Mus musculus: one gene and its partners. The main gene of each other region encodes a partner of the protein of the gene in region 6 in a complex. Links are inferred from orthologs where the notes say so. Each region holds a gene or a part of one and is shown on either strand. Other genes may lie near its edges.

Evidence for each region.
Region 1: Mcm2 (region 6) and Gins3 share a complex: the UniProt entries of both Homo sapiens proteins name them as parts of the CMG helicase complex. The link is inferred for Mus musculus from reciprocal best matches to the Homo sapiens genes MCM2 and GINS3.
Region 2: Mcm2 (region 6) and Donson share a complex: the UniProt entries of both Homo sapiens proteins name them as parts of the replisome complex. The link is inferred for Mus musculus from reciprocal best matches to the Homo sapiens genes MCM2 and DONSON.
Region 3: the proteins of Mcm2 (region 6) and Supt16 are in contact, whole or in part, in a crystal structure (PDB 8YJF), measured with the Homo sapiens proteins. The link is inferred for Mus musculus from reciprocal best matches to the Homo sapiens genes MCM2 and SUPT16H. Residues at the interface, in NP_004517.2 of Homo sapiens: Ile73, Gly74, Asp75, Met77, Tyr81; in NP_009123.1 of Homo sapiens: Gln898, Ser899, Leu900, Asn901, Lys904.
Region 4: Mcm2 (region 6) and Gins1 share a complex: the UniProt entries of both Homo sapiens proteins name them as parts of the CMG helicase complex. The link is inferred for Mus musculus from reciprocal best matches to the Homo sapiens genes MCM2 and GINS1.
Region 5: Mcm2 (region 6) and Cdc45 share a complex: the UniProt entries of both Homo sapiens proteins name them as parts of the CMG helicase complex. The link is inferred for Mus musculus from reciprocal best matches to the Homo sapiens genes MCM2 and CDC45.
Region 7: the proteins of Mcm2 (region 6) and Dnajc9 are in contact, whole or in part, in a crystal structure (PDB 7CJ0), measured with the Homo sapiens proteins. The link is inferred for Mus musculus from reciprocal best matches to the Homo sapiens genes MCM2 and DNAJC9. Residues at the interface, in NP_004517.2 of Homo sapiens: Glu65, Glu66, Glu67, Asp68, Glu104; in NP_056005.1 of Homo sapiens: Lys185, Arg189, Arg192, Lys244.

What each region holds. Positions count from the first base shown.
Region 1 is NC_000074.6:95,631,985-95,636,525, reverse strand, and holds the start of Gins3 (DNA replication complex GINS protein PSF3), read right to left. Parts: upstream 2,968-4,541; 5' UTR 2,929-2,967; coding exon 2,743-2,928; intron 1-2,742. UniProt on the Homo sapiens protein: Required for correct functioning of the GINS complex, a complex that plays an essential role in the initiation of DNA replication, and progression of DNA replication forks.
Region 2 is NC_000082.6:91,678,476-91,682,433, forward strand, and holds the end of Donson (protein downstream neighbor of Son), read right to left. Parts: intron 3,819-3,958; coding exon 3,620-3,818; intron 2,895-3,619; coding exon 2,682-2,894; intron 1,552-2,681; coding exon 1,414-1,551; 3' UTR 790-1,413; downstream 1-789. UniProt on the Homo sapiens protein: Replisome component that maintains genome stability by protecting stalled or damaged replication forks.
Region 3 is NC_000080.6:52,180,192-52,184,167, forward strand, and holds part of Supt16 (FACT complex subunit SPT16), read right to left. Parts: intron 3,830-3,976; coding exon 3,737-3,829; intron 2,992-3,736; coding exon 2,821-2,991; intron 2,119-2,820; coding exon 1,966-2,118; intron 1,493-1,965; coding exon 1,346-1,492; intron 978-1,345; coding exon 826-977; intron 83-825; coding exon 1-82. UniProt on the Homo sapiens protein: Component of the FACT complex, a general chromatin factor that acts to reorganize nucleosomes. The FACT complex is involved in multiple processes that require DNA as a template such as mRNA elongation, DNA replication and DNA repair.
Region 4 is NC_000068.7:150,907,990-150,912,485, reverse strand, and holds the start of Gins1 (DNA replication complex GINS protein PSF1), read right to left. Parts: upstream 2,893-4,496; 5' UTR 2,768-2,892; coding exon 2,693-2,767; intron 1-2,692. UniProt on the Homo sapiens protein: Required for correct functioning of the GINS complex, a complex that plays an essential role in the initiation of DNA replication, and progression of DNA replication forks.
Region 5 is NC_000082.6:18,784,124-18,788,099, forward strand, and holds part of Cdc45 (cell division control protein 45 homolog), read right to left. Parts: intron 2,946-3,976; coding exon 2,807-2,945; intron 2,730-2,806; coding exon 2,646-2,729; intron 1,069-2,645; coding exon 950-1,068; intron 760-949; coding exon 683-759; intron 1-682. UniProt on the Homo sapiens protein: Required for initiation of chromosomal DNA replication. Core component of CDC45-MCM-GINS (CMG) helicase, the molecular machine that unwinds template DNA during replication, and around which the replisome is built.
Region 6 is NC_000072.6:88,895,895-88,900,665, forward strand, and holds the start of Mcm2 (DNA replication licensing factor MCM2), read right to left. Parts: upstream 2,887-4,771; 5' UTR 2,757-2,886; coding exon 2,751-2,756; intron 1,623-2,750; coding exon 1,393-1,622; intron 1-1,392. UniProt on the Homo sapiens protein: Acts as a component of the MCM2-7 complex (MCM complex) which is the replicative helicase essential for 'once per cell cycle' DNA replication initiation and elongation in eukaryotic cells.
Region 7 is NC_000080.6:20,385,792-20,390,326, reverse strand, and holds the start of Dnajc9 (dnaJ homolog subfamily C member 9), read left to right. Parts: upstream 1-1,416; 5' UTR 1,417-1,543; coding exon 1,544-1,723; intron 1,724-1,886; coding exon 1,887-2,027; intron 2,028-2,115; coding exon 2,116-2,370; intron 2,371-4,440; coding exon 4,441-4,527; intron 4,528-4,535.

The DNA of each region.
Region 1 (4,541 bases), on a different chromosome or scaffold from region 6:
TGAAATTAGTCTGAAGTCAGGTAGTGGTCTCTTTCCCCACCCACCTCATGGCTTTGGAGATGGCAGAAAGGGTCAATGTCTATGTTCTCAAAGCCTTAAAAGAAATGCACAACATGACAAGATGAGATGGCATGATGGATCAGAAATCTATAAAATCTATAAAAAGGTACAAAAGGGGACATGGAAGATGGCTCAGCACATCCTGCTCTTACAGAGATGGAGAGTTCAATTTCTAGCATCCACATCGGGCAGCTCACAGTTGCCTCTAACTACAGCTCCAGGGGGATGTGACTCCTCTGGCCTCTATAGGCATCTGCACCGATGTACATACATCTATACAGACACACACTGATACATCCAATTAGAATAAATATTTTCATATACAAAAACAACTGGATTAAAGGAAGCCATGGAAATTTTTCATCTCAAAGGGAGAACTATTGTAGAGGGAGGGGCAACTTTTAGGGGTAGAGAGGTAGAGCAGTCCACAAACATCCCAGGGCTGGAAATAAACAGCCCAAGGTTGCCAGGAGGCCAGGACTTGAGTGGCCAAGGTATTAGAAGGTAGGAAGCCAGGTACTTAAAACTAAGTAGCAGAGTAATTAGGCACTGACTTTAATGTAAACTAAAAATAGCAAATGGAAAATTGCAGAACTAAACAATAAGACAACTTAGGAAACAGGTGATGGTGGAACTTACAGTTCCCTGCCTCAGCCTCTAAAGTAGCCGGTATTACACAACTGGAGCACACGGCCCAGCTCACTCTGCCTATAAAGAAAGACTAAGGCAGGTGCAGGGGCATATAATGTGGCAGGAGAACAGAGTTCAAGGCACATATCAAAATCAACATAAGAAACAAAGTATGAAGTCTTATATCGATGAGTGAAATTAGATGTCATAAAAAAAATCTTCAAACCTAATTCTGTGCTGCAGAGGAATTCCAAATACTTTGTGTAGACACTATCTCTCAAACTGGAGCAAGACAGCCTGCTCCTTCAGAGTGGCTATATATAATAACTTCCAAGGAGTATGGCAAACATAACAAACACTACCTCAGCCTGGTGATCAGAATCTACCACAGAGTCGACAACACTAAGTTGGTGTGATGCAGTAAAAATGGAACCTGACCCCTGTGATCTCTCCCAAACCAATAAACCAGTTTGATCATGAGTAAAATATCAAGCAAACCTTATCTGTTATCATAGCCAGAAAACTGTCATTAGATACAACCACAACAAAAAAGCCTGACGATAGCTAAGAAGAACCCAGAGAAATATAATAGCTAAAAATTATTCTTTAATTCTTTTTTTTTTAAAGATGCTAGACTAGAATATTAGGTAAATTAAGAAAATAAGACCCAGCCGGGCGTGGTGGCGCACACCTTTAATCCCAGCAGAGGCAGAGGGAGGCAGAGGCAGGCGGATTTCTGAGTTCAAGGCCAACCTGGTCTACAAAGTGAGTTCCAGGACAGCCAGGACTATACAGAGAAACCCTGTCTCGAAAAACCAAAAAAAGAAAAAAGAAAGAAAAAGAAAAGGAAAAAAGAAAAAGAAAAAAAGACCCAAACTCGGCAGGATATCTTGTTCAGTAGAGTGTAAGAGCTCAACTAAATCCTAGCCATACAGTGGTGACACACACCTTTAATCCCAGCATCAGGGAGGCAGAGGCAAAAGGATTGCTGAGTCTGAGGCCAGCTTGGTATACAGAGCCAGTTTATGTCAGCCAAGGCTACACAGAGAAACTCTGTCTCAAAAACATTAAAAAAACAAAAACAAAAGACTCCTAAATCTTTCTCTATGACAATGGGGAGCCAATAAGTTGACATTTGGGGTAGAACTCTGTGGTAGCATGCTTGCCTGGCATGTGAAACGCTCCAGGATTCACCCCCAGTCCTGGAATATTCTTCAAAAACATGGCGGTCGACTCTGAAGAGTCGACTTACAAAGGACTGTGAGGTTGAGAAGCAGCCCAGGGAGCAAAAATGAGCCTTTCTGTTGTTGAAAAAGTAAAAATGTGGTGTTTTACTTTGAGAAAAAGTACCTAGAAATAGACAGAGACAAAATTGATACCCTTCCAAACAAAACTTAAAGGACCTAACGGGAAATGAAAGTAACCATTGCAAGTTACGCTCTTGGGACAAACTCGTACTTGAAGCCATAGAGTCCAAGGTTCGAATCCCAGTTCACCATTTACTGGAGGACCCTGGCTTTGTTAACCCAGCTTTTGTTAGGTTTATGGGAGGGCAAAAGGCTTAATACGGGAAGCTGCAGTTGCCATTTTTCAGTGCGACACTGAAAATTGTTATGAGCAACCTTTTACCGAGGACTGCCTTGGTTAAGCCAGCACGGACTTACTGTGGAACCCTGGCTGAGGTACTCACTCTTTGTAGAATTGCCTAAGCGAGAAGATGACAATTTATCCCCCCATCACAGACTCCCATCCCCTGATGGACAGTCGGTCCTCGGAAACAGGCTGCAGACACTGTCATAATTGTGCCGAGTGCGCATGACAATCTGCAGTTCCCAGACTTCGAAACTTCAAATAAGTTTTATGGAAACCATGAATAGAACCAAGAGACCCTGAGATGATGGGCTGGAGCCAAAGCCAATGACTTTGGAAAGTTTGAAGACTAAGATCGGTGGCGGGAGAGTCCTCCGAGTGCTGTGCAGCTTCCCGGGACCCCCGAGGACTCCCACCGCCTCCAGATCTTGGAAACCTCTGCCCCGGCCGGGCTCGCCTCACCTGAGGGAGCGGATGGTCCGGCTCGGAGCCCGCGCCCCGCTCCAGGAAGAAGGCTCCCAGGCGCGGCATGGGCGTCTCGACCCGCACCGGCAGCTTCTCCTGCGACATCAGGATGTCGTCCAAAGACAGGAAGTTCTCCTCCGGCCCCAGAGCGCCCGACTCCACTGGGAAATACGCCTCGGACATGGCAGCTCGCAGCACAGTCAGGGATGAGGAGGGCGCGCCACCTCAGCGAACTAGGGCCGGCTTCAAACTCGCTTTCCCGCGCCGCACTCGCCAGACCCGAGCAGTCGATTTCGGCGAGCCTGCGGCCGCTCAGGCAAAAGCAATCAATAAGGTCACAGATTGGGTCCAGTGTCCCCGCCCAATGCGGAAGCCCTGGATGAGTCGGCCGGAAGTCCTCCTGCAGCTTGTAGACTAGGCTGGGGAAGGTATATGAAGCTTGAACATCATTGAAGGGACAGCATGTGTCTGTACTAACGGAACTGTGTTCATGCAGCCTTTAAATACACACATAGAATTTAAAAACATCTTTGGGGATTCAAGTAATATCATTTTACACTATGTATTCCAGCCCTCATTAATCCCGCTTTTATTGCATTTTCACTGGTAGGTTAATTATTGTCTTTGAAAACAACAGAAGAAACTAAAACGCAAGCACTAGTCCAAATGTTTAACTGTGTGCTAAGTTACAAATTATTTGTAGTATTTTGGCCGGGTGTAGGTTCAGGTGGGGTGGGAGTCTAGATGGAGTGGTAGATTTATATATGGCTGGAAGATCTGAAGTTCAGGGCCTTGCTCTACTGTCAACTGGCAAAGTCCTCGTGTGGTGATCAGTTTGGGTTCCTGAAAGAGGAAACTAGACCAGTTTCCTAGTCTTTTCACAGCCACTCTGCAAGCGGGAGCTCCTATATCAAATGCGATCACAGGTAGAGTACCTGAGAACAAAGGAAAGACCACGGTTGCTTGGTTGCTTGGTCCTAGATTTGGCGGTACATACATGAATACAGGTTGAGGCAGATTGTTGCGAGATTTGCTACCGAATTTACCTACTGTAGGAGGGCATTCCTGAGGTAGTGGTTTGTGAGCAACACAGGAAAGGGGGCGAGCATGCCTTTCATCTTTTGTATTCCTTTTTAGTTTTGAATGAAATAATTTGTTAATGTATTTACATAATTCACTACATTTAAGCAATAGCCTTCTAAATATGGACTAGAACTTTACATATGCTAAGCAATAGTCACTTGCTTTTTCTTGCCAAAAACACTTGTATCACATGAATGCTTGAAGTATTTACACCACTTTCTTTACTTTTTATTCCTCTTCTTTTAACAACCATTGCTCTAGTCAGTTTAAGACATTTTATTCCAGACAGCTACTTTAAAAAGTTGCAATAATGTCAAGCATGCTGGCACATGCCTAGAATCCCTGGACTGGGGAAGCCAAGGCAACAGGATCTCAGGGTCGAAACAAGACCAGGTTATAGGGCAAGGCCTTATCTCTAAAACAATTATGACTAATGTGCTTGTTGACAAGAGCGGGTCAGAAGCAGACCCAGGGTGTGAGCTAGGCATGTCCTGTAACTACTGGCAATTTTCTGCATGTACCCAGTTCTTATATACTGCTGCTACCCAATTCACAATGGTTCGACTCACAATCTTTTACTTTACAGTGTTAACAAAAGCTTATTCATATAACCATGCTGTAATTCTCAATACAGTGTTCAATAAATACCACGAGATGTTTCATGTTTTGTTATAAATTAGGCCTTGTGTTAGATGACTTTGCCCAACCATATG
Region 2 (3,958 bases), on a different chromosome or scaffold from region 6:
TACAGGGTTTTGGTATGTTTATATTGTTTACCTTAGTGATGTATTTGTTTAAGTGGCTAACATCCAAACAATTGTTTGAGGGCATCAGTAATATTCAGTGTGGAATGTTAAATAACGCTTTTATACTGTATTTTGTACTATGATGTAACTTCCCTTCCTTACGGCTAGGCTGCTGTAACACTTGCCTGTAATCAGTGAAGGGCTGTGCACCTTGTACTATTTCACAATGGGTTCTGCTGGACAGATACTGGGCCAGTGTTATTAAGGCAATGAAGCAAGATCTGTTCCACAGGGCTATGCCACCATCTCCCCCTTTTTGTAGAGATTATGAAAAGAAAGTGATACATTGTGTCATGATCAGTACTAAGTCCTGCATTCCCATTAAAGCCACTTGACTTGGGTCATAAGAAGGAAGTCAAAATGGAAGTCCAACTTCAGAGGCCAAGTACATATTAGTATGGCTTCAGTTGTGATATAGTTTTACTTTGATGTGCATTTTGAATTTCAGCTACACCTAGATAGACGTAAATAAAAATGCTGTAACCGACTTATCTAATAAAAATTGGCACCCAGCCGCTATTTTGTTGACTGAGGAAGTTTATGTTAATTTTTTAGGGTCTGATAGAATATTCATGTGTATTACAGTGGTATTCATATGCTATGTCTCTAAACTTTATTTTCAAAAGCTTAAGGCCCAAATACAAACTTCTCTGGAATAAATGTTGTGTCTTATTCTCTGGCTTTTATGGAACACATATAACTAAGCACTATTTGTTTCTTACCCAATTCTTGTGATTTCTATGCACGTTTATTTAAAAATACTGAATTTTATACACACATGCAAACACAGATTACCTGTAAGCATACTAAGTAGTAAGTTGACATGGCTGAGGGCCCAGCACTTAGATGAAGTACAAAGTAGCCTCCCCTCTGACTTGACACAGAAGATGAACATACGTGAGAGCAGAGGAACTAGAAATCATTAGTAAAAATGCTCATTTCCCTACGTCTTGAAAGAACTCACTGCTCGTCTAAGGTACAATGTGGATGCTTTAGTCTCCATTGGAATAATTGCTACAGGTAGTCTGTTTCTCAATTGTAATAAAACACTGACTTTTCTACTCAGGTTAACAATAAGTTGCAGGGATAGAACTCTTATTTGAATTATCTGAGGTATTAAGGAAGCTCCTTGCATCTTCATCTCTGAAAATGTATGAAAATAATAAAAGCAAAATCTTGATTTAAAACCTAATGCTATTGCATGTAATAAGTTAATATAAAAATGTTTAGGAACATTTCAGTATTTTAAAATATATTCTTCCGAATGAACTTTAAAAGCCAGGGGCCTACGCATCTTGCATTTCCTTGCTAGGAAGCTTTTTCCTCAGACTCCTTTTAGGCTTACTTTGGTGTTCAGGATCTCCAACTTAAAATGTAGTCACTCATTTCCACACTCCGCAGGGATGACTTCCCCAGCACTGGCCTCTGACTGAGCTGCTCCAGGGTTTTAGGATGCAGCCCACAATTAGCAAGGTCCTCACGAGCAACTTTCTGGGAAAACACAAGTCCACATCCATAAAGCACATTAGTTCTTGAACTCCGAGGTTTTGTTGTTTTTAAAAGATTTATACAAGTACACCAGAGCTGTCTTCAAACACACCAGAAGAGGGCGTCAGATCCCATTACAGATGGTTATGAACCACCATGTAGTTGCTGGGAATTGAACTCGGGACCTCTGGAAGAGCAGCAGTCAGTGTTCTTAACTGCTGACCCATCTCTCTTGCTTGGTTCACCAAGTTTTTAATAATCCCCATAAAGACTTGCCAATAAATGGCTCAGTCAATCATAGCTAGAAGATAATCCTAATAATTTCTGTAGTATGAAAATCCTAAATTAACTAGTCTATTAGGCTTGATAAATACTGTGCCAATTAAAGGACTGTAAACTATCTTTAAAAAGTCTAAAAAAGGGCTGGTGAGATGGCTCAGTGGGTAAGAGCATCCAACTGCTCTTCCGAAGGTCCAGAGTTCAAATCCCAGCAACCACATGGTGGCTCACAACCATCCGTAACAAGATCTGACTCCCTCTTCTGGTGTGTCTGAAGACAGCTACAGTGTATTTACATATAATAAATAAATCTTTAAAAAAAAAAAGTCTAAAAAGACAATCCAAAATAAATTAGTAACTAAGGCTTGAAGATGGTTTAGTGTTAAAACACTTGCTGTACAAGTGTGATAACCAGAGTTGGAGGCTATCTAGAATGCCCAAGAATGCTGGGCAGACATGGTTTGCACTTGTAATTAGTCTGAAGGTGGCACACAGAGACCAGCTAGCAAGATTAGCCACGTTCAGACATTCAGGTCTTGAGGAAAAGACTACACTGATGACTGAGGTAGAAGAGCAGCTCCGTGTGAGCTCGCTCAATCCCGGGTGCTCTTAAACACATGCAGAACTGCAAGTTATGTACACAGACATGAGAAACGGGAAAAATAGCTGGGGTAAATCATGTTTCCATAAACTACAAAGGAATCAGGAATTCATATTTAGCATTTCCTAAATTCATGAAATTTATCTTATGCCCATGTGGATATTAATTTGTAACTTGTTTTCAAACGATATAAATTTGGCACAAGTGACATTTACCCCAGCAAGAGGATATAGGGTATGACTGGTCTACTTACTCTGTCCAGTTCTTTATCCAGAGACAGGCCAACATTGAAAACTGCAGTTGGCTCGTGTGCATACAGTCCTGCAGAGAAGGACCCTCTCTGTGAAGATCGGAGTAGCATGCTCATAGAATGCAATGCATGAGGCATGACAGGCCCTGTGATATCCAAACTAAACTTATCTCTGTATCCAGAAAGAGCTTGTGTCTTTACATTACTGCTCCGTGCCTTCAGAACATTTAAAAAAAAGTCATGTGGTACAGAAAATTAGTAAAAGGGATTTGATATAACTCATGTCACCTAGCTCTCAAGCAAAACCAAAACTCCTGGGAATGCGACTTGGTCAAGCTGCTTGTCTAGTAGGCCTCCTCCCCCACGCAGTCTCAGTGCCGACACACAGCCCAAAGTATGCAACAACAGTTTACAATTATGAAAACTTGTTTATATGCTATCATATATATACACACACACATTTTTTGAGATCGGGTCTTACTATGTAGGCCTTGCTGTTCCTTAACTCACTGAGATCTGCTTGCCTCTGCCTCCCGTGTGCTGGATTTTGTATTTTCTCAAATGCATGCACACCCAGTTGTGCCTGTTACCCGTGGGGTAAGAAGGCATCAGAATCCTTGGCACTTGAGTTACCAATGGCTGTGACCACCACGTGGGTGCAGGGAACTGAATTTGGGTCTTCTGCAAGAGCAGCCAGTTCTCATATTTAAATACTGAGCCATCTCCCGAGTCCCTAGAATTATTTTTTAAAAATTGAGAATTTGAGCTAGGAATGGTGGCACACGCTTTTAATCCCAGCACTCAGGAGGCAGAGGCAGGTGGATCTCTGTAAACTTGAGATCACAGTAGTCTATGTCCAGGACAGCCAGGATTACAGAAACCCCAGGTTTACAAAAACAACACAAATTGCTGGACTGTATGTAGATGAAGTAAACACTTACCTTAAGCATTTGCATTGAGGCACCTCGGAAGGCTATTGGGGATAAGAGAGTGGGTGGGAGACCTGCCTGTGCACCTGAGGTAGCAACTAAACTCTTGCAGTTGATCAAAAAATTGAGCAGTTTGAAGGTGTTGAGTCCTTTCACCAGTACGACAGACTCAGGTCTGTGGTCCATTTGTACTTCATGTTTTTCTTTACGTCTGAAGACAACAGTCAAGGAAAGCAAAAGTAGCTCACAGAGGCGCAGCCAGCTGCCTGGGCGGGTGGGCGGGCTCCAGAGACCTGGGCCTTCCAGGCTCAGTCACAGCTTTAACGAAATGCTAACCATCTGAAGATGAGA
Region 3 (3,976 bases), on a different chromosome or scaffold from region 6:
GCGAACAAGGTTGGAGCAGTAAGATTTAAAGCGAATGCCCATGGCACACGTAATGGCCCCAAAATGCATATGATTCTTATCACTAGAAACCAAAGAAAGAATGCATTTTATCACCAAATCCAGGAAAGTATCATCGGCACACAGCATCCACAACCAGGGAGCGATGAACACGGTATAAAGAGAAGAACAGAGCAGGGCTCTGCTGCTGAGGTACAGCATCAACCAGTCTCCTTTTATAGCACGTCTTAAAATTAAGAAAGAAGTTACCTGATGTATATCTAATGTTTTTATTTTATTTTTTCAGTTTACTTTATATTTTTCTAGCATACCCCCTCCCACACCTATACCCCCATCCCAGGATCTCCTTATGTAGCTCTGACTGGCCTTGAATCCAGAGAACCACTTGCCCCTGCCTCTCAAATGCTAAAAAAGCGTTTGCCACACCTGACTTTTTTAGAATTTAAAAGCATCTTAGTTACAGGTATGTGCCAATGAGGTCAGGAGGAGGGAGGCCTCTGACCCTTGGAGCTGGTACAGGTGTTTGTGAGCCACCTGATGAGGGTGATGCTGGTATTTCAACTCTGGTCCTCATGAGAGAATAGCAGTATGAGCTCTTTAGCACCAGGCTATCTCTTTAGCCCCCCTTTTCTAGCATATTTAATAATTTGGAAAAAATATTATTAAGTGCTATAATGTAAGAAGTAAAGAAACATATTCACAGAAAGACTATATATTTTAATCAGATTAATAATTCTATCTCTTTTGACTTTTTGAAAAAGTCAAAAGAAAAACCATGTTATTATATTATGTAGTTTCTACACTTACCTCACCACACTGAACTTGAGATTATAGTTGCCACCACTCTGAATGATAGGAGGGTAACACATTTCCACAGTAGAAGGATCTGCCCCAGCTAGGTATTTTTTTTCTTCAATGGCCTTTTCCACAGACTCAGCCAATTTGCTATGCCGAACTTTCTAGAGTACGTAGGAATACAGTAACACTCACTGGAGGGTAGTACACAGAAGTGCATGATATTTAATGTGTCATCTAAAGTCACAGCACATGCTGATATAATCTTTGGTGTACATACCACATAGATAACAATATACTAAGGAAATGTGGTGCTTACATGGAATTCATAGCTCTCCATGTTTTGAAAACACGTTTCCATGTTGGAGTAAAATAACAGCCTCAATAAACCACATTCACGTTTACTTATTTTGAAGGAGATGGCAGTTACCAACTTCAAAGGTAATAAAAAGCAAAACAAAGAGTGAAACAAGCCAGGCAGGATCAGGGCTGCTTCATCAATCCACTAAAAAGAGCGCCCCTCTTTCCTTACCTCATCTGCATCCACTATTTCCATGACTCTTTCCTTAAAGAACTTGTTGAAGACCTCAGAGGTGATGCTGGCTGCTTTCTTCATCAGGTTGAGCTCACCGTCCTCTTTCACAGCAATGGTGTATGCCACAACAGCGCTGATGTCTACCTGTAGCAAGGTGATGCATTTCTACTACACACAGAGCTGTTGCACACACCTTGAGAACCACCAGTAACACTATCTCCTCAGAATGCTCAGGCTCTTCCCAAACCGAGTCTACACTTAGAGCACCTCTCTCAGAACATGTGCTCTATGAGACACTAAGCTAATGCACTACTTACAACAAATTCATCTCTTTAGACATAATTATATTGCTGAAGGGAGACAGGCAGGAAGGCAGGGAAAAGATGACCCCAAAATATATTTTGGTCAAGAGATTCTTCTCAACCACCCAATATAAGCTGTCTAACGTGGTTGACGCACTTATTTTCTGACTGAAAACTAACTGGAATATTATTTAGCCAAAAGACATGAAATATGAACGAACATGGATTTCCCCAAATGAAAATCCTCTGCTCCAAGGGAAGCCCACTCCACCTCCCGTCTCCCTTTCAGTGTGCTGCTTCCGGATGAAGCCTTACTTTGTCAAAGCCCTCCTTGTTGAGACAATCACTCCAGCTCTTCATGAACTCTCCAGGGAACTTGTCTTTGCTGAACACTCCGATCTTCTTGCCGCTCTTGCTTTCTTTGATAGCGTCAATCATTTTGTCAAAGCTGCTCTTGTTACTTTCATTCTATCATTGCCACAGAAAAGGAGATGTTACTTCAAGAATTAGACTTTTATTTTCTATCTAATAAGTAGAGAGTAATAATCTAAACCATGGAGGATGAGTTCTCTGAGCCTCCTATCTATTTCTTCATGGCAGATTATCACATACTGAAAGCTGACAGACATTTCCTTTGCATATTTTGACAAGACAAGGGTATTCTCTTCCTTTAAGAAGAGACAAAAAAACTCAAATAAAAATTCTGAGAAATAAGCATATCTAAGTTATTGTAAGGATTTCTAGGCTATGTGCTCTAAGTAGTTATTGCAATGGAAACAAATTACAACCTGAGAACATGGTCAGTAAATTAGTAGTGCTTACCAGAGCCCACAGTTCATACTCCATTACCACCAAGCTAACAGCTCCAGAGCTCTTATTTTCCTACCCAACTGAAGACAGAGCTCTGTAATTAGAACTACAACTTTTCTTTTCTCCCCACTTTAACATAGGTTCTCTATGTTGCCCTGGCTGGCTCAGAAACTCACTATGTAGACCAGGCTGGCCTTGAACTCAGAGATCTGTGTGCCTTTGTTTCCTAAGTGCTAGGATTAAAGGCATGTTTTGCCATACCTGGCAATCCTTTCTCATGCATTTTAAATGTCCCAAGACACTTGTGCTCAACACTTAATACTATATCCCACATTTGTAACAACATATATTGGTCCCAACCTTCTCTCTGACAAGCAGTGTGATGGCAGGGGCTCCATTAGCATTCTCATTGCCTTTAGTATTGGCAATCTGTTTCAGAAACTCCACCTTCTTTTTGCTGGCCATGAAGATGATTTTGTCATCACAGAAGACCATGATTGTATCAGTTAGTTCATAACCAAAGAGCCACGTCTATGGAAAACAACAACAGTAACTAAAGTATTACAAATAAACATATAAATATATAGGTTAAGTTTCGATTTGGGATGGAGTAACTTTGATGTGGATACAAATAAACCAACCTGGATCAGGGGCTGAATAATAGGGGGCTAAATGGTGTGCACATGAGCATTCATTCTGTCTGCTTTTATATGCTTAAAATATTTCATAGTTAAAAACATCAAAACTGGACATTTTGTGTTTCATTTACTTTCCTTGGCAATGAAGGGAGTCCAGGGAGAGTTTATGCTTAGATACACTATGTCACAAGCCATTTTAAAATAGGAATGTCACTAGTCTTCATTTGTCTGTATTTCTGCTTAGAGTATAGAAAGAATGACCAGAGTTTTAGCAGCTATTTCATATCATAAGCAAAATGGAATATCGGGGAATTGAAAAAACCTGGGTTCCTGAAAATTCTTCATTCAATCCACTGGTTCTTTTTGTTATATGCAATTAAATACATTTTCTCTATTCATTCCTTTCTTCCTTAGGTTCTACTCAGTGGTCAATCCAATGGAAATTATGCAATGATACAGATGCTCTACTATCTACTCACCTGTAACACAGCACCAGTGAGAGCCTCAGACACAGGGAATGGGACTGAGTAACCGACTATCCCAGGAGAGAAAGTACTGAGCCTCTCAAATACCAAGCACATCTTTTACTACTGAGCTATGCACCAGACCCAAGTACTGAAAGCTGTAAGCCATTTTACCTGTAAGGCAGTTGACTTGGCATACACAATTTCTTCATCAACACCCACCGATACAACAATGGCATCAATACTGGCATACTCATCTTCTCCTTTCTGAAAAGAGAGGGTAATTTAAGGTATTTTAATTAACACCCCCAGCCCCCCGCAGTGTGTATGTGTTCGTGGAGGCCAGAACAGGGTATGGAGTATCTTTTATTACTCTCTACCTCACTGCTTTGAAGTAGGGTCTCTCACTGAACC
Region 4 (4,496 bases), on a different chromosome or scaffold from region 6:
TCCTACTTGCATAAGACCTTTGAGCTCTGTGCCTGCACCAAAAAAAAAAAAAAAAGGTTAAACAGAACTACCATATGACCCAGCAACTCCACTCCTAGGTTATTATACACAAGCCCGGGTTTTCTTTCTTTTTGCTTTGTTATTCCCACCACTAGTGCTGAGCTAAATCGCCAACTCACACAAAAACTTACAAACAATTGTGTTGTGTTTGAATTTTTTTTATCTTTAGGGTTTCATAATTTGTTTTCTTTTTTTAAGATTTATTTATTATTATATCTAAGCACACTGTAGCTGTCTTCAGATGCACCAGAAGAGGGCGTCAGATCTCATTACGGATGGTTGTGAGCCACCATGTGGTTGCTGGGATTTGAACTCAGGACCTTAGGAAAAGCAGTCGGTGCTCTTAACCACTGAGCCATCTCTCCAGCCCTGTTATTTGTTTTCTTGAGACAGGGTCTTACTAGTACTATGTGACCCAGGCTGACCTAAAACTCACATTACATTTCCTGCCTCAGCACCCCAAATCCTGGAATTATAGGCATACGCTGACTGGGCAGAATTATTCAAAATAGTCAAAAAGCAAAAATAATTCAAAGGACCAACAACAGATGGAGAGATAAGCCAAATGTGGTATATCACCCAATGGAATGTAATTCAGCTATGAGAAGGAATGAGTACTGACACATGATAAACATAGATAGATCCTGAAAACTCCACATTAAACCAGAGGCACCAGACACAAAAGGACTATAGTTTGAGTCTCCTTACTTGAAATACCAGGCAAGGCAAATTCATACATAGAAAAGCAATGTAGCCAGACACAGCAGCACAGGCCTAGAATCAATGCCAGCAAATGGAAGGAATATCTCAGGTTGAGGCCAGCTTTGACAACTTAATGAAAACTGTCGTTTAAAAAATAAGAGCAGGTGAGATGGCTCGCCATGTAAGGGCACTTACTTCCTAGAGTGCTGACCTCCTGTAACTCACACAGTAGAAGGACAACTCTCTTGTCCCCTAACCTCTACACCTGTGCTATGGTATGTCACAACCCACATAAGTAAATAAATATAACAGAAAAGTGATGATCAGGACCTGTGAGAAAAGGGGGACTGGGCAGTGCTACTCAACAGTGACAAAGTTTCTGCTGGAGTAATGAAATGGGTTTGGAAAGAGTGAGGAAGGTTTGAAAACAATGTGGATGTAATTAGTACTGCACATACACTAAGTTAAAACGGTCAAGTTTATATTTGTATGTGTATTTTTAAAAGATAAAACAAATAGCCATTGGAAAAGTGCAATAGGGGCTGGAGGGATTGGCTCAGAGATTAAGAGCACTGTCTGCTCTTCTAGAGGTCCTGAGCTCAATTCCCAGGAACCACATGGTGGCTCACAACCATCTGTAATGGAATCTGATGCCTTCTTCTGTATGTCTGAAGACAGCATCAGTGTAGTCACATATGTAAAATAAATAAATAAGTCTAGAAAGAAAGAAAGAAAGAAAGAAAGAAAGAAAGAAAGGAAGGAAGGAAGGAAGGAAGGAAGAAAGAAAGAAAGAAAGAAAGAAAGAAAGAAAGAAAGAAAAGTGCAATAGGGGCTGGAGAGATGGCTCAGTGATTAAGAAAGAAAGAAAGAAAGAAAGAAAGAAAGAAAGAAAGAAAAGTGCAATAGGGGCTGGAGAGATGGCTCAGTGATTAAGGGCACTGGTTGCTCCTTTAACCGGACCCAGGTTCGACACATCTAGCACCCATATGGTGATTCATAACTGTCTATAACCGTCAGTTCCAGGAGAATTCACTGATCTCTTCTGACCTCTGTGGACACCAGGCATGCACGCTGCCACATATATACATGCACGCAGAACATTCATACACACAAAATTTAAAAATAAATCCTTAAAAAACAAGCATTATAAAACTACTGAACTACTGAATATTAGAATAGTCTCAAATACATTATACTGAGCAAAAGAGGCCAGAAATAAAGACTGCATTCTACATGATTCCACATGGCCCTGTTCCATGACGTGTCAGCTCCTAGCCAGCCGAATGAACCCAGATACATGGGGCGCGGGGGGGGGGGGGGGGGGGGCGATGGGGGGGAGAGGCAAAATCTACAAACAAGAAAAGCAAATCTATGGTTTACAAAGGCTGAAGCTGGGACACAGCTTCATAGCAATCCCCAGAACTACTGGGGTTATATTAAGATGCTACTGGCTCATCAAGAAGCTGGCTATAAAAATGCATGTGGATCTGGAGGGATGGCTCTGGCACCCACAACCCACCTATAACCCACACCCTCTTCTGGCTTCCATGAAGCACCTTCATGCAAGTGAGACACATACTCATAATTTCTTTTGTTTTGTTTTGTTTTTTAAATAGAGTTCCAGGCCAGCTTGGACTACATGAGGACTTATCTCAAAAAACGAAAACAAGAAACGCTCAGATGGGGCAAGTCACCAAATCAACAGGTAACCTAAGTATGAGTCTTTTTCTTCCTACGATTTGGCCCCGTTTCAAACTTGTTTCCGATCTCGGAATCTAGCAAAGAGATAAAGTTAGCCCAGCAACCAACAAAAAAAAAAAAACCTCCAGCAAGCAACAGCAGGCATAGGCTCCGCCCCAAGGCATGAGGCCCCGCCCTAGGCCCCCAGGCCTGGCCCTCGACACGCCCCTTCCCGGCCGCCGCTCCTCACATTAAAGGCCGGCAGCTGCCCTTCCGGCGCGCGGTGTAACTCGCGGACAAGCTCCATAGCTTTTTCGCAGAACATGACGGACGCGCCCGGGTCCCGTGGTCCCGTCAACTGCCAAGTCACCCCAAACGGTCGCTAGTTCCCAGGCCGCGGCACTTCTATTGTTCAGAGTCGCACAACACCAGCAACCAGCTCCTCGCTTTGGCGCCAAATAGGCTCAACCAATAGAAGTGCACTGGTGCGGGGTGGGGATGGTGGGTGGGAGAGAACTGAGCTACGGTGGCCGAGAAGGGACATTTAATTTTATTGAGCAACCTCACTGAGCTTCAGGAAAATTGGGGTTAAAGAGAATGGTTTCCTCCCTGGCAAAGCCAGAAAGTAAATTGCGTCTAAGATTGTGGGCTGAAACAAAGGGCTGTTTTCGATTGTCCAGCAAAGTAAAGTGCACATTCTTCTCCTCCTTTTTATTTTTTCCATTTGAATTTATTATCTTTAGATTGCAAGAGGCACCTTTAGGTTGAAGAAAAGTCGAGAAAGTACTGGTTATGATGCAGTGTTTGAGTTTTGCAGTGCCGGTTGTTTAACATTAAAGAGAAACCTTTTTTTTTTTTTTTAAACAGGGACTTGGGGATTGGAGGGGTGTCTTTTTTTTGTAATTTATTTATTATTATATGTAAGTATACTGTAGCTGACTTCAGACACACCAGAAGAGGGCGTCCGATCTCATTACAGATGGTTGTGAGCCACCATGTGGTTGCTGGGATTTGAACTCAGGACCTTTGAAAGAGCAGTCAGTGCTCTTACCGGCTGAGCCATCTCCCCAGCCTGAGAAACCGTCTTTTATTGGGTACTTTTAGTATGGTAGGAACTATGACATATATTTCAGTTAATTCTCACAACTTTCCTTAAGAGATTACTAGTATGCAGAACTGGTAAACGAAAACAGTTAACTCTCTGCAGGTCACATGGCTCATAAACTGACTAGAATGGGATCTCTATGCTTCGCACTTTCTGCTCTGGCACTTTTTGATTTTAAAACAGTTAAAAATATTCACAAACTGGAAAATGTCGCAGATAACAGCAGTTTTAAAATTGGTTCTGAACTGATGGTGGAATGCCTGCAATCCCAGAACTTTTGTGACAGAGAAAGATTACTTCAATTCAGTTCAGGAGTTCTAAAGGAGCCCATCTTAAAAACAAACAAACAAAAAACAGTAAAAATACTCTTGATTTGCCTTCTGTTTCTGTGATAAGACACCATGACCAAAGATAAACTAAAAAGGAAAGGGCTAATTTCAGCTTGCAGTTGTAGTTCCATGCCATAAAGGGTATTCAGGGCAGGAACTCAGAGATCCTGGAAGAAGGCTGCTTACTGGCTTCCCATGGCTTCCCAGGCCTTGGGGTGACACTCCCCTTAGTGGTCTGGGCTGTCCCAAGTCAATTATTAATTAAGAATACTCCTACAGAGTGGCCAAGCGATTCTGATGAAGGCAGTTCCTCAAGATTCCCTCTTCCCAGATATAATTACGTTTGTGTCAAGTAGACAAAAATTCTCTAACCTTCACAACCCAAGATAAAACCATACCATAAAACCTACTTGTTTCATTCACACCCACACCCACCCCCTTTGAAATTGGGTCTTACTGTGTTGACCAGGCTGACCTCAGAGTCATAGAAATCCACCTGCCTCTGTCTCCTGGGTGCTGGAATGAAAGGTGTGTGCCACATTGCCTTACTATTTAGCTGATTTTTGAAAAAAGTGTTAACGTCTATAAAACAATAATAGATTTTTGTCTTGTTCTTTTGC
Region 5 (3,976 bases), on a different chromosome or scaffold from region 6:
CAAACAAAAACAATAACAGCCTTCCCCCAAACCCTCCAACAAAAACCAAGACATTAAAGCCAGCCAAGTAAACCAACAAAAAAAGACAGACCAGTTTGGTAGCCCCAAGCTTATAATCTCTGCACTTGAGAAGCATAGGCAGGAAAATGATAAGAACAAGGCTAGCTTGGGCTATATAGCCTGTGTCTCAAAAAAAAAAAAAAAAAAAAAAAAAAGAAGGTAAATCTGCTCAAGCATGAACCAAGTTGTGTGCTGCTCTCTCTGGTGGTCACCGGACTACGCCTTTCCACTCTCTGACTCACCCAACAGTTGCAAAAACTGTCTTGCAGGGTAGAGTGCTGGAGCCCCAGGTAAGGTCCTTCATGGTGCCAGCTTTGCCAGCCACAGGCTGTGTTGTTTCCTTTTGTACATGATGGAGACTGGCTTGGCCTCTGGAGTTACCACAGTCAGCCCCTCAGGGTGGGAACTGACTTTAGAGCAGGGTAGTGAGGCTGCATGTAGGCCTGTGCCTTCCCAGCAAGAGTTGTGAGAATTATAAAGGCAGCTTTGCCGAGGGCTGTTTTGGAAGGGCAAGGTGGATTGCTGGCTGGATACCTCCATCACCAGCTTGCCTCCCTCCAGGGCCAATGCTGGCCTGGAAGGTGTGAAGGCAGAAATGTGGTCACTGGGCAGAGACACTCACCTGAGAGGTCAAAGTAATTGTGTAGAGTCCGAGAGCTGGTGCTTTCTGCTGCCTTCTCAAAAGCCCGACCAAAAAAGCTAAAGGCACAGAACAGATACACTGTGAGACAGACCACAGACAACAGACAACTGACCCTTCCCAACCTGGCCCCAGTGACACAGACAGTGAAGGGCAAAAGCCACTTAGGCTCTGCAGAGTTGGTGGCCAATGTGCTGACACACCAGGGCCTTCAGCCTTGTTGTCCCAGGACACGTAGAAGCTGCTCACTTCTTTCTATCCGAGCTATCAGTCTCTGGGGGGATGCCCACCACGGTCACTGTGCCCTGTTCCACGCTCAGCGGGGCAGCCATCACCAGGGGCAGCAGCTTGCATCGTCGATTCTTTGTCTATGGAGACAGGAGCACTCTTGGTCACAGCACAGTCATTCTCAGCTTGCAGGGTGGAGCACACTGCTCAGCACCTAGAAACTCTGATAGCATTAGGCCACCCCTAAAGCCTGCAGGGATGCAGTCACTAGAGGGTATGCTAAAATTCCAACTTGATATTTTGGCTCTCAGCATCCAATTATCTACTGGCTCAACCCTCTTTGTACCCCAGCCTTGCTTTTCTCCAATCACCACCTCCAGGTCTCTAGGAACAACTCCCAACACTCCTGTCTGTTCTCCTTCCTCCCAGTGTGTGCCTCTGTTTGAAACTCATTCATGCACTCATGTCTCATGGGGACCTCCTGCACAGTTAGGACAGAGGGGCTGAGGTCCCCCTCACACTACCATTGAAGTGACCAACTAACAGTCCTGGTTTACACAGGCCTGAGGTGTAACCCAGCATGTGAAATGGGCACTTGGTGGGTGTTAAGTCAATGTCTGATAACTGACTAGACCTGTGAAGTGGCTGTCTTCTACAGATAAGGAAAGAGAGGTGCAGAGGTCAGATATTCCTTCTCACAACTGATGCGTGAGGCTGAGATCTGAATGAAGCCAACAGAATTGCAAAGTTCTAGTTTGGTCTGGTTCATCTTTTGACATTTTAATCATTCCTAGCAGGTGGCAGGGGATTGGTTCCAGGACCCCTGTGGACACCCAAATCTAAGAGTGTCATGTTTCTCATGAAGACACTATCACTTGTGTAAATTTTATATATAGTTTTATATATAATTGCATACCCTCTTCTACACTGAATCATCTCTAGAGCACTTATATTACCCAACGCAATGCTGACACATCACTTCACTTGCATGTTTTGTTTCTTGCAGGTTTCTCAAAGGAATTCTTTTTGGTGCTGGGGATCAGATATACTGCCAGGGCCTCACACATATTAGTCAAGGTTCCAGTACTGAGCTATATAGCCAATCTTCCTGAGATAGCTGTGATCAAAGACTGGCTGTCTGAGGAGGCAGAGCCCATGGAGACAGCATTAATTATCTTCAGAATATTAACATCATTGTTTTACTGATGAAACCTGAATAAATTTCAACTTCCTGATTCTCTTCATAAACCTCATCCTGAAATCACCAACTATCCTTTCTGCATCCATGCCTGAGAGAAGTCCTCTAGTAGCTGGGTTAGGGCCTGTCTAAATACCAACTGAGTTAGACTGTGTTCTAAAAAAAGATATTATTAGGGCCACAAACCTACAGAGACATTATCCAAACCTTTGTTAACTCCATCTTTTCTTGATTTGTCACAGATGACCCTAAGCCCCAGCCCCACAGCTTTCCAGGGCCCCTCCTACTTATCCGAGCGACATAACTAGTGAGTGCTAATTCTAGAGCTTGTAGGAAACTGGAAGGCTCCTAGAGGTGAGGTGAGGTAAAATATGGCCCCAAATACGGAGCATACCCAGCCTCATAGCTGCTCAACAGTGTGGGCAACCCTAGGCCACCCCTGACACGCGCTTAGCATGACGCCTGTCCTCTTGTACCCATGCCGTTACCACCTCATCCGCACTCCATCCAAGTGCTCACCGAGTACACAAAGGACTTGAGCAGATGTCTGCTGAGCAGACTCAAGGATGCTGGCTTGGAAAACAGGGTGACATCTGGAGTGCCCTGGAAGGGGAAGACAGCTGATCAGAAGGGGCTACTAGGGGGTGTGGCTTGGCACTGCCCGGGTAAGGAAGTCTAACCTCCATGAGTGAGCAGTAGAGAAAAGGGCCCTGGGAAGTGACGAGGTTGGTACAGAGACAGCTGGCGATGGTCTGTTGTGTGGCTTGGAGGTGCTTCTTGGCGAGCTCTAGACCAAGGTATAGCTTGTCCAGGTTACTCCTGAAACAGGGCAGACACAGGGCTTATGTGATGCTTGTTGGGTACTCTTGCTAAAATGCCAAGGCCAAACAGACTGCTTGATTCCTGGTTCAAGAAGGAGTTTAGGAGTAAAAATGTATCTTCTCTCCCCCATGAGTTCCTCTTCACATGAAAGGAAGGAACAATTTAAAAAAGTGTAACACAGCGATGGAGCAAGAGAGTCAAAAGACTCTAGGATCAAAAGACAGAAGATACATGGGTATGATGAGACATACTTGTAATCCCCGCATTCAGGAAAATTGTGAATTTGAGGCTAGTCTGGGCTACAAAACAGGAATCTAGAGATCACATAAGGAGGACCCAAGAAGGTACTTGGAGGGTTCCAACAGGGTACCTTAGGCAATGGATGGGGGAAATATAAAGACTTCCCACATCCACTCAAAGGATAAGAGAATATGCCTCTCTGAATATATATATATATTTTTTTAAAGCCTAACATATACATTGTCCCATTTTATTTATTTATTTATTTTTAGATTTATTTATTACATGTAAGTACACTGTAGCTGTCTTCAGACACACCAGAAGAGGGCGTCAGATCTCGTTACAGATGGTTGTGAGCCACCATGTGGTTGCTGGGATTTGAACTCTGGACCTTTGGAAGAGCAGTCGGGTGCTCTTACCCACTGAGCCATCTCACCAGCCCCCAACTCTCTCTGAATATTTTAAATGAAGACTCTAGGAAAGTAAGGCTGGCCTGCAAGCAAAGCATCTGTGCCCAGCAAGCTGGACCCAGACATCCAGGGCTCAGTCAGGATTCCATGGCTTCCTAAACACAAAACACCAGATTATCTGAGAACCACTTATGGCTTGAAGAGGGGTGAGGGTGGGGTGGGGGTGGGGGAAGATCCCAATAAAAACAGATGGTTAGAGATCAAATGAAACTTAAAATGACTCCATTATGCTCTGAGAGATTTGGGCAACCATTAACATTCCTATAACAAGAATAGGACACTAGGAAAAAAAGGTCAGAAACCAGAAGTGTTGACAGA
Region 6 (4,771 bases):
GTTAGTCTACAGCGGAACAGGCCACACAGTCTGGGGTTGGTCAAATTTCAACTCCAGAAGCTGTCCTTGAACTTCCACACGTGTGCTATGGCATGTGCACCCATACACAAACACACAATGAGCAATGTAATGAAATATTTAAAAAAAAAAAAAAAAAAAAAAGACTTTTAAAGAAATGACCCGGCTGCTCTTGCAGAAAACCTGGGCTCAGTTGTCGGCACCCACAAGGTAGCTCACAACCATGGGGTCTGACGCCCTCTTCTGGTCTCTACAGGCATAGGCATGCATGTGGTAAAACACTCAATACACACCTTCAATCCCAGCACTTGGGAGGCAGAGGCGGGGGTGGGGTGGTTCTGAGTTCAAGGCCAGCCTGGTCTACAGAGTGAGTTCCAGGACAGCCAGGGCTACACAGAGAAACCCTGTGTCGGAAAAAAACAAACAAACAAAAGACTGAACTTTGAAAACTCCAGAGTAAAATGTTGGCACAAAAGGATGAACACCAAGACTCCAGTTCTGGTAATTTGATTAAAACTGGGATCAACAGGCAGAAGAGAATGGCTTGCAGAAAGCTTGCACACACCGTCTTTGCACTGAAGGCTTATAATATAAAACTTCGTTTCTTTCCATACAAACCCTGAGTCAGATAGTCCTCAGACATCTCTAAAGTGTCTCTCACTTTAAAGAAGAGGAGGTGGCCCTGGAGCCCCCCTACCCCCCCCCGCGGCCCCCCCAGCAACTCTGCAGGAAAGCCCTTGCTGCTGAGCCCAGGATGATCAACTCCATCAGTCCATGGACACTCACTGCAGACCCAGTCTCTTCACACCTAGCCTGGCAGTGTGTAAAGAAAAGAACCAGATGGTGCAGACAGCCCAGTGATGGCTCATACCCCTCAGATATCCCCTACGGAAAGGTACAAAAGCAAGGTGCCAAAAGCCTCCTAAGTGGCCACATAACTGGTGTCGGTAAGGGAGATCTCCCTACCTCCTGGCAAAGCTCAGTTTCCTGACGGCCTCAGTCACCTTCTGTATGTCTGCTTACAACTCTGAACACTTGTGACCCAGAGCCTGATGCAGGCTGGGTGCAAGTTTGCTGACTGAACCATCTTTCCGAGTTGGTGCCACCCTTCAGGGCTCTTCAGATCAGACTCTATGGGTCCCCTTCTCCTAAGCGGGGGCTTGCCTGGGCTTTAGGGTCTAGTCTGAGGTGTATACAGTGAGCTAAATGCATCTTCCCAGTGGGTGATGAACCTCCACATCCCAACCAAGCCATATACAAAGGCAAAGTCACCAGGTTGGCTCATACACTCATGGGTCCCCAAGGCCAGGCCACCAGACACGGGGGGGGGGGGGGGGGGGGGTCCTTCTGCTAAGCCACCTAACCACAGCCTACCTCTCCATGCCATCACCAATGAGTTCCTCTCCATCCTCTTCTTCCTCCATGGGCCCCTCTGTGCCCAGCAGCCCCTCAGACTCATCTTCAAATGGGGGGAGGTCTCTGCCAGGGCTGGAGGTCAGGGCGTCAGCACGTCTGGAGCTGCGGCCTGGGCTGGAGGTGAGGGGATCACTGATCCGGCGCCGCTGACGGGCAGGGCTAGATGCTGAGAGAGACTCAGAAGACTCCTGTAGGAGAAAAAGTCTGCCATCAGACACTGGAGGGACACAGGCTGACAGCCTCCTGGTTACCATGGGGCCTTCCCACAGTCTGTCTCCTGTACACTAGGCATTGTTCTCAGGGACATATTAGTCCCTCAGATCTGTCCATGTCTGTCTTATGAAAAACCTCGGGGGCTATGTAGTTTTTTTTAAAAACCTGTTTATAATCTATTTTCACACCCCACTTAGCCCAAACCCCACAATATGCTGGGTGCTGAAACAAGAGGTGAAGATAAAAGAGGCATCAAGGAACACTATTCTAGAAGTGAATGGTGGAAAGAACAGATCTTTAACCTTTAATGAAAACGCTAACAGTAAGAGTAGGGAAGCCGAGCCAGGCAGTGGTGGTGCACGCCTTTAATCCCAGCACTTGGGAGGCAGAGGCAGGTAGATTTCCGAGTTCGAGGCCAGCCTGGTCTACAAAGTGAGTTCCAGGATAGCCAGGGCTATACAGAGAAACCCTGTCTCGAAAAAACCAAAAAAAAAAAAAAAACCAAAAAACCAAAAAACCAAAAAACCAAAAAAAAAAAAAAAAAAAAAAACAAAACAGAGTAGGAAAGCCGGGCCTGATGTCACAGGCATGAAATCCAAAATACCTAGAGGCTGAAGCCTGATGATCGCCAAGTTCAAGGCTAACCCGCACTACAGAGCGAGTTCAACCCCAGCCTGGGTTACTTAGTGGGACCCTTTCTACTTTCTTTCTTTTTGAGGAAGGGTTTCTCTGTGCAGTTTGGCTGCCCTGGAACTCACTCTGTAAAACTCAAAGACCCGCTTGCCTGTAACCCCCTAGTGCTGGGATTAAAGGCATACGCCTCCCCGGCCCAGCTATGAGACTCTCAAGAGAGAAGGGATGCACGCAGCTACGTGGTAGCCGGCTTTCCCTACATGCGCGGGGCTCTGGGTTCCATTTCCTGCAGCCTCACCACCATAAGTGCGTGTAAACCCGGGGCCTAGAGACACATGAGGAGAGCAGAGACGACCCGTCCCAGACTGGTGCAGGTAGCCCCGCACTCAAGCCTGCCACTAGAGGAAGATACCGGCCAAGCTAGCCGAGATCGCTGAATACCGCCCGCCCGGGATCAGCCCATTCCTCACCGCCATGTCTGCGCTAGCTCCACCGCACCAGCTGCCACCGGTTTTCGCGCGAAAACTAGACCACGTGACCCGCCCATGCCCGGGAAGCGCCGGGAGGACTCAGACGTCACTACGTCCTCGTCAATCTAGAGCGGAAGGAGGGCTAGAATGTTTGGGCACGCCCACACCAGAAAGCCCCGCCCCGCTCCCCGCCCACAGCTTTCAAAAGGCTGAGCCCTCGCCTCCTGCACACCTAGGCTTAACCCTTCAGCGTTTACCACGCTAAGGCAAGGAAGCGGGACTTTGGGTCACTAGTGGCTCTGAGGACCAATCCGGCCTTCTAGAGTGTGACCTAGGTATCTAAGTGTCGGTATGGCCACTTGTTGCAACTGAGACTGTTTCCTGATTTCTTTTTTTTTTTTTTTTTTGGTTTTTCGAGGCTGGGGTTTCTCTGTGTAGCCCTAGCTGTCCTGGAACTCACTCTGTAGACCAGGCTGGCCTCGAACTCAGAAATCTGCCTGCCTCAGCCTCCCAAGTGCTGGGATTAAGGGCGTGGGCCACCACTGCCCAGCTTGTTTTCTGATTTCTTCCTGATTTGGCATCAACCTCTCCCAAAGCACTGAGGTTCAATCCTTCAAGCACCCAGGCTGCTGTGGGCTTTTATCAAAGTGGGAATCAATTGTACTTGGCTGCAGTTGGCAAAGGTATGGGGAGGATGTTCCAGGTGAAAAGGGCCTGGTGCGTGATGCAGTACAGCGAAGGCTGGGAGTATATAGGGATTACCACTCCCTTGGTTCAAAGCTTGTAATGCCCAGGAAAGGTGGGAGAGTTCAGACTGCAGATTAGCAGTCTGTCTAGGAGTTGGAGCTCTGTCCTGACATGAGGTCACCTGAGGGATCTGTTAAATCGAGGTGTAGGATGAATCAGTAGCTACCACCTGACGAGGTGGGCAGAGACAGGCTGAGTGCTTCCAGTGAGAGGCCTGCTACTGTTCCTACAGTCTTAGGCATCTGGTTCTCAGCTACTGGGCAGGATGTGACTTCTGCTGTATGCACAGCATCAATAATCCCACACAGAACCTAGTGTAGGGCAGAGAGGAAATCAGGAAGGACGCTCAGAAAGGGGGATCTGCAGGCTTTATAGTACAAGAGATACCCCAAGGTGCTAAAGGGTATCTTAGGGAGATGGGCTAGTATGACCTCTGAGACAGGAATCCACACCCTCTTGTCTGCTGGATGCCACTGTGGTACCCAGAGCTGCTATCGATGCAGGAAGGTACTGCATCTATATGCCAGAGACTCAAAAATAAATAAATAAAAAATAGAAAGCATATTATGCCACCATAATAGGATATGTTCTTTGAAAAGCTGACTGTGTCCACCATAAGCCCCTAGGCCCCTACAAGTTCCAATGATATGACAAGCACCCAATTCTTAAAAAAAAAAAAAACAAAAAACAACTTATCTTCCTCCTTTATAGAATCTCTCATTACTGGTCTGCCATTCCATGCTTACCCATCCTTACTAGCAGGGTGTCATGGACAAGATAAACCAGAGCCACATTCTGTGAAGAGTCCAAGTAGCCTGGGCCTTGCTAGACCTGGTGACAACGGAGAGGGGTAGAGTCACCACAGGCCTGGAAGGACCCTGCAGGTGGGTAATCCCTTTACTGTAATGGGATAGAAAGAGGTGTGGTTTGTAATTTTGAAAGATCAGAACAGCGAGTGAGATTGACATAGGGAGGGTCCCAGTGTCCCAAACATGCTTTAGGTTCCCAAGATGGGCACAGCTGTCCATACCCTGCACTGGTGCAAGCCAGGAACACTACCTGACCGATCCCCATTCATGTGACTTCCTGGATGCCACACTGTCCTGTATGCAGAGGCCACAGTGATGGAGGAGCAACTGCCTCTGCTGCCAGAGGGAAAGAGGCATTCGATGACCTCCATCACTCAGCAAATGCCGTAAAAATCTCCCAGACATCACACATGGAGCCCCGAATTCCAGAGGGTCAAGTGCAGAGTGACATACTGTTACTGTTCT
Region 7 (4,535 bases), on a different chromosome or scaffold from region 6:
GCTCACTTTAAATGCCAGTGGGAAGCCTAGAACATGGCTCAGGACGTAAAGCGCTTTATTTTTACCTTAGCTCTGAGGTACTGAGTTCACATCCTTAGACCCCATGTACTAGTTAGACAGGAAGCAAAGAGTCTGCAATAGCAGCATCCTACAGGGACATGGGACGGTGGAGAGACAAAGGAATCCTCAGACACGGGCAAGCTGGCATGCACAGTGGAGAAACAACACAGACATCTTGTGTCAAATGAGGTAGGAAGTGAAGACTGACACCTAAGGTGGTATCTGACCTCCATGTGTTAAAGCATGCACATGCCCACTCTAACCAACACATGAATGTGCACGCATACACAGAACAGTCTATGATAGAGTCGTGTTTAGGTATTGTGAGTTCAGTATGTAAATGACAGGCTGTATGAAATCAAACACACCGTCTGCCTCACAGTGCCCCAGAACCATGGGATTCTACAGCTATAAACACGAATCACAGGTTTGCTTTTACGTGCTGGTTAATGTAGGTTTTAAGTTCTAGAGTAAGGCTACATTCTTTAGGAATGTAGTGCTCTGGCCTGTTTTATCTGGATTCTGAGAATAGTTACTTATGTACATTCAGAGGTTGCTCTCCATCCAGTGTGGCTGCTGGTTTTCCTTCACTGGGCATGAAGGAACTTTGAAAGTAGGTAAGAGAGGAACTAAGTTTAGTTGGCCTTGATTTTTAGATCCGAGGAGGGGAAAAGCCGAAGAAGCACTGAACTATTTAAAATGATAGGATGGGTGGGTCAGTGCAATTAGTTTCCATTGCTGTGTGAGGTGACTGCAGCAGGTGAGTGGCGCTGATTCTGTGCTGCCAAAGATACACATCCTTTGAGATAAAAGGCATTCTTAAAAGTTGTGCTTTGTGTATTTTGATTGATACAGGCTATTCCTGCATGGACTGAGGGATTCATCCCAGATGAAGTCATCTAAGCCTATAGTTGTACTCTGAGTATCACCTTAAAAAACACATTAACCTTTGGGTTGAACATGTCAAGTTTCCCAGTTTTCCTTATTTTGTATGATTGTGTATGATTGTGTGTGTTTGTGTGTGTGTAGGCCAAAAGACAACTTGACAGAGTATGTTCTCTCCTGCCACTGTATGGGTCCCAGAGGTCGTCAGGTATGGCGGCATGCCCTCCAACCCGCTGAGCATCCTCTCCAGCCCGAGCATCCGCTCTCTATTCGGAAAACTTTCGTTGTGTCTTGTACCGTACTCTCATGTATCATTGAGCTGTGCAGGGAACTGGGAGGAAGCGCAGTAGTGGCTGGCACCGGGTGGGGCGTGCCTCCTCTCCAGAAGACGCCACCGCCGTCTCATTTTACTTCGCGGGCGAGAGCGAGGCTGCTTTGCGGCTGCCGTAAAGTGCGGCTGGCCCCGCCCCCGGCGCTTCTCCTGTGACGCAGGCGCCCAGAGTTATTTGGGCGGGAAAAGGCGGCCGGCGGTCCGCTGTCCAGCAGAGCGGCTGTGGCTACAGCTTCCCCGGGTTCGCGGAGCAGCCTCTTCCCTGGCATGGGGCTGCTGGAGCTGTGCGAGCAGGTGTTTGGCACCGCCGACCTCTACCAAGTGCTGGGCGTGCGGCGCGAGGCTTCGGACGGCGAGGTCCGACGCGGCTACCACAAAGTGTCCCTGCAAGTGCACCCCGACCGAGTAGAGGAGGACCAGAAAGAGGACGCCACCCGCCGCTTCCAGGTTTGTGGGCCCGCGTTCGGACTGCTGCCCGGACTTGTGCTCTCGCGGGGCCCCTGCTCCTAGGACAGCGCACTGCTGATCCTCGGCCTGGCATTTTTCAGCTTTTCTAGCTGCCCTGTTTCGGTGGGAGGTTCAGGATGACTTTTGGATACTCTGCTTACAGATCTTGGGAAGAGTCTACGCGGTTCTGAGTGACAAGGAACAGAAAGCAGTGTACGATGAACAGGGGACAGTGGACGAAGACTCTGCTGGCCTCAACCAAGACCGGGACTGGGATGCATATTGGAGATTACTCTTTAAAAAGGTAAAGAGCTTTAGTGGCTTTGACTAATTCTCATCATTCAGTCCACAAGAACAATTCGCGAAGTTAAAGCAATCTTCTTTGTTATTAGATATCGCTAGAGGATATCCAAGCTTTTGAAAAGACATACAAAGGCTCCGAAGAAGAGCTAAACGATATTAAGCAGGCCTATCTGGACTTCAAGGGCGACATGGACCAGATCATGGAGTCTGTACTTTGTGTACAGTACACAGATGAACCCAGGATAAGAAACATCATTCAAAAAGCTATTGAATCCAAAGAGATTCCAGCCTACAGCGCCTTCGTCAAAGAGTCTAAACAAAAGATGAATGCAAGGAAAAGGAGGGTAAGTAGTGTTGTTCCTAGCACATCTCAGCTGCTTCAAAAAAGGGTCTCGCTGTATTCACAGCGACGGAAATAGACTGCTGCGATATGACTGCTTGACCTGCAGCATTGATCTAACTAGATGACCAGGAAGAAAGCCCTGATTACTTTGGTATGTTGTGCTGAAAATGATTCCACTTTATGGACTGTTTGAAGTCACCCTCAAGTGATTCTGAAAAACTTTTCACACGAGGCAGTCCTTGTAGCTTTGCTGTATGGAGCCTGGTTACAAGGCTGTGGGCCTTGTGTGGTTATTGAACAGGTAGAAGATGGCAGTGATTGTGTGCTGTTAAACATGTAGAATGGCGGGGTGGTGCTCCCAGTACTTGAGCACTGAGGAAGCTAACTGAGGATTGCCACTTTTGAGGTCAGGCTGCGCTGTGTGGATCCGTGCTGCATTGGTTGTCTAGTACGTGGGAGGTCCCTAATTCTCCAAAACTGCCCAGAAGAGGGGGAGAAAACAAAAATTAAAAAAAATTCTGTAAATACATATAGTTATTTCACACACACACACACACACACACACACACAAGGGGATGGAGAGATGGCTCAGTGGGCATGTACTCCTCTTACAGAGACCCAAGTTCAACTTTCAGGACCAAGGTTGGGTGTTGTGGCTCACAACCGTCTGTAACTCCAGCTCCCAAAGATTTGACACCTCCGGTTTCCATGTAACCACTGGGTGGTCTCTCCTGTCCCCACTCTGAGGAACACAATTGCCTACACTTGAGGATTGGGACTTGCGGTTGATTCTTCATCCCTTCATCCCTGTCTAACCAGGAAGAGTGGGGATGTTAGCTGAGGAGTTGAAGGAAGCAAACAACCCTGCTTACGCTCTTTGGGAAAGTTACCCCAGACTGCTGGTAAAGCAATGGTTGCTTCGTCTTGGCTTTCACGATTGGAGCTGACTGGAGAGCTGGCAATTTAAGATGTTAGGTGTCTGGTGGGTACTTGAGTTGTCTTTTGTGTGGCTCAAGTGGATGGGCAAAGACCTGGAGCTTTTAGTACAAGAACATGCAGAGAGAAAAACTAACTTTAGTGTTTGGGGTGAGTTTAAGGGCCTGCTTTACAGAGAAGAGACTGCTATGCCTTTTTCATGGCTTGGAGTCACAGCTGTTGCTTGCTAATCATTTTCGCATGTAAAACAGAACAGCTGTATTAGATCAGGATTTTGGTTTGAGAAACTTGGAGTTAGAGGGGAAATGACAGTTTGAAAGCTGTGTAAAGGGATTGAGGAATGCTGAATTTTAAGAGACGATAATAGAACAAAACTTGTTTTTTGTTCTGGAATAACAAGATCCCAATTTATCCTTATTCCCAGTGGTGATTTGGAAATTTTTACAATGAGTTAGGGCCTCACAGTTCTTGCTGTTAGCTGTTGTGGTATTTTGGCAAATTTTGTTAAATGAAGATAGCTTTGAAATCAGGTAAAGAAAGGCTAAAACTGAGTTTGCTAATGTTTTTTTCTGACTACTCAGAAAACATTTTAAATTTGTGTTGTGTGTATTTGCATGTGTTTGTGCCTGCGTTTGTGAGTGCATGAGTGTGGGTGCCCTCAGAGCTGTTGATTCCCTGGAGCTAGAGTGACAGACAACCTGGTGTGGATGCTGCGCATGGCCTCTGGAAGAGCAAGAAGTGCTAACAGCTGGGCCAGCTATCCAGCTCCAGAGAAAGCCTTTAAATCATTGCAGCTCACTAGGCTGCTGTGTACAAAATGGGGTTTCAGATGAAGATCCTGAAGTGCCTGGTACCTGGCATCCGTTTTGACGCTGTCCTTGGCTATGTGACCCTTTGGGTCCCCTAGTAGGTTCCTTTGTGTCATCATATGGTTTGAGATGCTGACGTACTTGTGCTCTAGATTTAGGAAGTAGAATGGGGATAACATAGAAGGACTTCCTGGAGTAAGACTGCTTCCATGAGCAGTTCCTAGACCTCCAGCTCTAGGAAGGGGCTAATGTTGTCTTTAAGGGGTAGAAAAAACGTATTTCTTACTTCTTGATTGCCATGGAGTCTGATAAAAGCTTCTGTCTAGGCTCAGGAAGAGGCTAAAGAAGCAGAGTTGAGCAGAAAGGAGCTGGGACTGGAAGAAGGAGTGGATAACTTGAAAGCACTCATCCAGGTAAAGGT